Danio rerio: one gene and its partner. The protein of the gene in region 1 purifies or fractionates together with the protein of each later gene. This does not show direct contact. Links are inferred from orthologs where the notes say so. Each region holds a gene or a part of one and is shown on either strand. Other genes may lie near its edges.

Region 1 (3,573 bases):
TTACGTTGCTGTGTCAGAATCCTTGCTTGTAAAATACAGACATACTTTAGAACGCTTAGTTTAAGTAAATTTGGTGAACGCGATCATGCTTGTTAATGAGTCTGAAGGGATCCCTCGCTCTCCGGGTCCGCTGTACTGCGCGCGTTGTCTGTTCAGCAAGCGCTGAAATGGAAAGACTTCCGCACATCGCGGTCATGCTGCTTTAACTGAAGCTTTTGGTTTGGGACATACAGAAAGCGACTCGCGTCCATCTGCTGCAAAAAGCTGTTTTTGGAGGAGACAAGCAGACATCACTGTGCATCACTGTGTTTGCCTTGGCTCAGTCCAGCGCGTGTCACCAAGGTACGAAACGTGACACACACACATACACGAACGAACAAACGTTATGAAAACGATAGTTTGTTGTATAGTTGGTGGTTCACTTCCGTGATTTGGTACAATTGCATTCACATCAAAAGTACCAGAACCGTACCAGAGTTCACATGAACCGTACCCCAGACCACCTCTTTCAGGCGGACTCGGGTACGGTTCACGGGTGCGCACCCGAGCTCAGAAGACACGTTCACACTAGCTAAACCGTACCGTACTATGACGTCAAACGAAATCGGGTGCAGACCAAAAGTGCTAGTGTGAAAGTACCCTTAGAATCCAACATGGAAATAATTTTTGTTTGTTTGTTTGTTATTAGCATAACACCGGGTTTCATGATTAATCATAAATACTTAGGAAAAAAAATGTGATTAATTACGTAAATTTTTTTAATCATTTGACAGCCCTAATATATATATATATATTTCTACAAGTGAAGCATGAGCACACATTGCTTTGCATCTTACAAACACAACCAAGCCTTAAAAATACACTCTGGACCACCTCTTTTAAGTATTCAGGCACAAGAAATTGCAATTGGATTTATTTAATTCAATTTTATACACAATGAAGACTATACATTGTTATTTTAGATTTGATTATTACATATCCAAACCTGAATACTGTTATATCCTTACTCTTGTATTTATCTATGCTTGTAATTTCTTTGTAATACTTTATGCATCATTCACTCTCCTACAAATCATTCCAATCAGTCTAAATGAGTGAATTATTTCCAAATAGATCTGTTCAAGCTATTCATATTCCAAACCAATATACATATTTTCCAATATCATGCAACCCTTCCTTGAATGCATAGGAATAACGAATTTTTAAAATTTTGCACATTAAACATGTATACCGAAGCTGTATAAAAGATTTAAATGGCATGTGTATGTTTTCAAGGGAACGTGCTGAGCTACTGGTGTTTTTCTCCGGGCTTCAGCATGCAGGAGTTGCTCCGTCAGGAAGTTCGCTGCATTATTCTGACCAGCGGAACCCTCTCGCCGCTCTCATCCTTCACCTGTGAAATGCAAATGTCCGTGCTCCTCTTCTCCAGCTGTCCCCACTCAGCTTTTATGAGTTGCATGTGGACTGGATGCTAATTCTCTGCTCGTTTTTTTCCAGTCCTTTCCCTGTATCCCTGGAGAACCCTCATGTCATCCAGCGTGATCAGATCTTCGTCAGTATCATTGAAAAAGGTCCAGATGGAGTTCAGCTGAGCACGGCTTTTGACAGGAGGTCAGTGTTTTCCTAAAAGTGCTCTGGGTTACGCATTTGAAAGAAAGTTCTTATGTTATTCAGCAAGAATGCATTAATGGATCGAAAATAACGGTAAACATATGGAGCTAATAATATGCCAAAACAATCTAAATTTGAATTTCTTAATTAGAATTTATTAATTTTAATGTCCTATTTTGAATTTGAATTTCATAACTTCAATATTAAACATCTGAAATGTAAGATTACTGAAATTTTCGGGACTTTTTTATAGGCGTATTTTAAAATTTCAGATTTTTTTGTGTTCTGAACTCACATACTGCAGATATCCAGTTTGTAAAAATACATTTTGAAATCAGGAAATGGGTAATAATAAATGTTTTTATCTACATATAGCCTAATGTAAAATTGAACTCCTATGTATCTTAGCTTTAAGTATAGAGGGAAGGCTGCTTTCTGTTTCAGGTCACATAAAACCAACATTATGGGCTCTATTTTGACGGTCCATGCGCAAAGCGCAGGGCGCAAACGCTTTCAGGGCATGTCAGAATCCATTTATGCTATTTTAAGGACGGAAAAATCCGCTTTGCGCCGTGGCGCATGGTCTAAATGGGTTGAGTTTATTTTCTTAATGATTTATAGGTGTGTTTTGAGATTAAACCAATCAGAGTCTCATCTCCCATTCCCTTTAAGAGTCAGTTGCATCGCGCCACAGCACATTTGCTATTTAAATGATGTAAAGTAAGTGTAAGTGGAAAAACTGAGCATTTTACTAGCAAGAAAACAGTTAAACAGAGCATGTACAGCACGAGAATGAGAGATAAATGATTAACGGTTACTTTCGCTCTCGTGGATAGGGAAACCTTTACGCACAGACATCAGTTAGCCTATAAATAATTAATTTAGTTTGTTAAGTCCAAATATTTGTTTCAAAACTATTTCTAAATTCAGTTCCAATTTCCAGCAAACGAATAAATGAACAATAATAACAAAGTGTGGTCAAAAATCTGAGTTATATCCTAGTACACATGCTATGCCCCACATGGTCTAAAACCTGCAGGTGGACAAATCTAAGCTTGTTTTTAATAAACCATATAAATATGGAAATAATAAATAAAACTGCTAATAATAATAATAACATTATACAAAAGCAAATTGAATGAACTGAAAAAGCCTCCCGAGATGAAGGCATGAATGCAGTGGTTTTTATATATAAAAAAAAAAAAAAAAAAAAAAAAAAAATATATATATATATATATATATATATATATATATATATATATATATATATATATATATATATATATAAATATATGTATGTATGTATATATATATGTGTGTGTGTGTGTATATATATATATATATATATATATATATATATATATATATATATATATATATATATATATATATATATATATATATATATATATATATCCTTAATATTTTAATTCTTTTTCATATGTAAAGATATTTGCGTATTGCTCTACATCTCGTGTGTATTAGGCAGTGTGTAAGCGAGGCACAACTCTGCACTGGACTTTAGACCGGGTTTGTTTTGGTCTATTAAAAAATCTATTATAGTTTATCAAAATAGCAAAACGTCCGCTGTGTAACACATATGCTGAATATGTTGGCGACCTCTAATTAATAGAGGAACTAAGCTGAAAAGAAAATTAATCAATGAAAATGTTTTCGACACTGTTTGAATGTCTAAAAGCATGTCTAATTAATTGAAATCAGGAAATGTCTACAATTTAGAAATTACAATTACATATTTGCAATCTGATAACACACCATCAACTTTTATTCTTTTATTCTTGTTTTCATCTCAAACATCAAAGCACCCTACCCGCTTGTTAAGTGATGACGTGTTTGTGACGCATGTAATACTGTTTCCGGGTCCAAGCCGCCATTCACTTAAGTGGAGAAATCATTCGTTTATGATCACTTTTTATTCCTATCACACATTAAAGTTAATTT
Region 2 (3,573 bases), on another chromosome or scaffold:
TTAAGTGAGTGGATGTATGATTTGTTAGGATAGAATTTAGGTTAGGTTAGAGTTTGAATTATTTTGGTTAAGTTGTTTAAGACATGTAAAAGAGTGTTAGAGAGAGAGGGTGTTTGTCCTTTTGTGAGCTGCATTTCTACCAGTGTTGTTAGCAATATTGTCTGAATTGATGGAATTGTGAATGTTGAAAAGAACAGAGAGCTTTTAAGCCATTATGTCTTTTTTTCTGGAAAAGGCTTCAGTAGTAATAGTTTTCATTTCCAGCATAATTCATATTTGGAGAAAGAAAACAGCAGATGAAACACAGTCATGAAACGGCCTCCACAGGGTCCAGACCTGAATGTTAAAGAGGCTGAATGAGATCACCTGGAGAGAAAAGATAAAGACATTCTAAACGTAAAGAAGAACTCTGGAAAGTGCTAAAAGAAGCCTGATATTACACAACACATGTCAGAAAATGTCAGGACAATTAAAACAAAACAGTTCAAGCCGTGCTTTGTGCTATTGGCAGCCACATTAAATATTGACCTTTGCTGGAAGCGGAAAAGTTGTGCTGTTGTTTATTATGTATTTCCTAAATTTTCTGTTAGTTTTTAATTAAAAGAGATGGATTGATTATATATTGTGCAAAAGTCTTAGGTCAAAAGGCTTAGGACTTTTGCACAGTACTGTATATAGGTGTTTGTCAATTTCTAAATATGTAAAATAAAAATTGGACTTTACCAACTTATAAATTCAATCTTTCTTCAGGCAACAAGTGGGTGGTGCTGTAAGGAGGGATGGTGTGCCTGTGAAAAAGAAGAGCAGGAGGAAAGGGCAGAAGTTGGATGAGGACACCATGATGGCGCTGGCTCTGTCCCGCTCTCTGCTGGAGCAGGAGGTGGAGAAAAAGCGAGAGCTGGAGGAGCAGAGGGAAATTCTGGCTCAGATCTCCAGCCCTCCTGCAGCCACAGCTCCTGTCCTAAAGTGGAAACCTGGAGCAGGTCAACTCAGCTCTTCATGTCAATTTCCACAAATTCCTGTGATCATTCATTCATTCATTCATCAACCCACGTGAACACAGGGAGAACATGCAAACTCGATGTTTTAGAATTTTAGATTTTAGAATGACCAAAGATTTTTGATTTTAGAATGACCAAAACAGCAATTCAGATGTTTTACATTGTGGTTGATTCACTGTTTTTTTCATTAACATTGTCCCATCGCACCTATTTTTGTCATCACATTATCTGTTAATACAAAATCACATTTCTGAAATTCTGACTTTTCTGAAACACATGCTGGAATTTTTTCAGTAAGTGTTTTTCCAAGTTTTTTATCTAACAATAGCTTGACTCAGTTGTGTACATTTATTTTTGTCATTTTCAAAATGAATGGGCATCTTGTTGTTTCCATAAAGTATTTTTATGCAATAATCCCAAATGGACCTAAAAATAGGTGACTGAATGAAGGCTGAAAGTGCAAACGATCCTCAAAACACAAGCTTCCTGAAACCATATTTGTACTGTACATTAAACACAGCATATCATTCCTGTTTTCATTCAGGTAAGGGTCGTGGAAAGAGAAGGAAGGGAGCGTCTCCTGTCCAGCCGCCGTTGCTCCTCATTCAGGACCCTCAGATTGCACTGAACCGCCTACAGGAGCGGGTTTCATCTCTCCTGCTCTGCTCCAGACCACCTTCTCCTCCAACACCCACCCTGAGCCCCTCCAGCCTCCCTCTTCAACCTCACGCACCCCTCTGGGACAAAAGCGCTCTTCACAGAGGACGACAAAACTCTGTTTCAGAGTTCTACACGTCTGAGTTGAGCAGCTTCATACAGCCATGGGTCGCACCAGTGGTGAGAAAAAATGTTCATAAAGATCAAAAATTGTAAATATAGTTTAATCAATATGTAGTTAATGCAAAAATGGGGTTTTATTAAAAAATATACAAATGTCAGGAATAGGGTTGTAACGGTATGAATTTTTTACGGTATGATAATCGTCTTAAACAATACCACGGTTTGACGGTTTCGCGGTATACGGTATGTTACAAATGTTACAAAATAATAGAACAGTGAAGCAAATTTGACTTTTTCCAAATAATATATATTTTAGTTACTATAAACAACACCGCTTACAAAGAACAAATAAAAAAATAAGAAAATAATAAATAATGTGTCAAAGTCCAAATAAATATGGTGCAAATCCTCAGTAAAAATAGATATAAATATTTACTATCCTATAAATAGTTACATAACGAAACTAGATTCAATATGGAACATCTTTAGGTTTTATGTGCCAGCATGGATATGGTTGTCTGTGGATATGGATTTGGATATGGTTGTCTGCAATGCAGACAAACAGCTGCACCTTCATGCGTCTTTTGAAAACAGCAAGAGCAGCAGTTCGTCTTTGCTGTGTCACTGTTTTGTCATGTTTCTGTGCTGCTGTGCATGCAAAAGTACTTAGTATGAGAATTATTTCATGCAAAACTTTTTTTTTTTTGCGTTTTATCTCTCATTCCGTGTTGTTCAAAAAGCTCAGTGTTGGTCCACAAACAAAAGCGAAACCTACGCTTATTGGTTGTGATATAGCGAGTTTGAACCAATCTGGGCATGGAGGAGGGACAATGCATCAATGTATCATGTCTGATTTGTCCGGAGACACAGTGACGAGCGTTTCTTTGTCAAATCAGCGTTGTCAAATTTTCATGACGTAACCGCACTGATTCCGGAGCCTCTGAAAGTCCGCGAATGTTATGTGATACAGCACTGGAAAGCACTGCACTGGATTCTCTTCTTCATGCCAATCTTTGAATTGTATGAATCGGATCAGCGGATCAAAAGTTATTAAACATTTAAGAGCAATACTTATTTTTAGCCACGGGCGGCTGTCTCGGTCTTTAAGGGTTAAAACCGTTGATATGCAATTGTTCATGGTATGATAATCGTGCACGTTCAAATCGTGGTAAACCGTCATACCGGTATATTGTTACAACCCTAGTCAGGAATATAATATAATATAATATAATATAATATAATATAATATAATAATATATTATATTATATTATATTATATAATGATATAATGTAATATAATGATATAATGTAATATACATTTTGTTTATGGTAATGTCTTTTAAAGTTTAACTGCATGACTTTAAATACAGTGGTCCCTCGTTAATTGCAGGAGTTATGTTCCTAAAATAACCCACCATAGGCGAAATTTGCGAAGTAGTCAGCTTTACTTTTTATAATTATTCTAGATGTTTTAAGGCTGAAAAACTCCTCACTATACACTTTATGCACTTTTCTCAGACAGGCATGAACATTTTCACACTTTTCTCTATTTTAAACACTCAAAGTTCAAACTTTCATAAAAAAAAGAATCCAGTGTTATAGAATGAAATCAAAGATCAAAACCATTTGATCTTCATTTATTTATTCTGTAATGGTGCCCTACAGCCGTGTAACTTCTACCTTCCTTTGGCATGTCCAGAAGTTCAACTTTTTGTGTGATGGTAAGCGTCTTTCTCTGTGTTTTGGGTGCTGCTGCGGGTGCCTTTGATGGTGCAGAGTGTTTCGTCGACAC

What was found. Proteins that work in one complex are often made in the same cells at the same time.
Region 2: the proteins of rtel1 (region 1) and slx4 purify together in Homo sapiens (affinity purification with mass spectrometry; 3 studies listed by BioGRID, with this or other methods). This does not show direct contact. The link is inferred for Danio rerio from reciprocal best matches to the Homo sapiens genes RTEL1 and SLX4.

Annotation. Positions count from the first base shown.
Region 1 is NC_133186.1:13,308,557-13,312,129, forward strand, and holds part of rtel1 (regulator of telomere elongation helicase 1), read left to right. Parts: exon of another isoform or gene 1-608; intron 609-803; exon of another isoform or gene 804-1,253; coding exon of another isoform or gene 1,254-1,275; coding exon 1,276-1,408; intron 1,409-1,497; coding exon 1,498-1,611; intron 1,612-3,573. UniProt on the Homo sapiens protein: A probable ATP-dependent DNA helicase implicated in telomere-length regulation, DNA repair and the maintenance of genomic stability. Acts as an anti-recombinase to counteract toxic recombination and limit crossover during meiosis.
Region 2 is NC_133197.1:27,520,701-27,524,273, forward strand, and holds part of slx4 (structure-specific endonuclease subunit SLX4), read left to right. Parts: intron 1-750; coding exon 751-983; intron 984-1,545; coding exon 1,546-1,838; intron 1,839-3,573. UniProt on the Homo sapiens protein: Regulatory subunit that interacts with and increases the activity of different structure-specific endonucleases.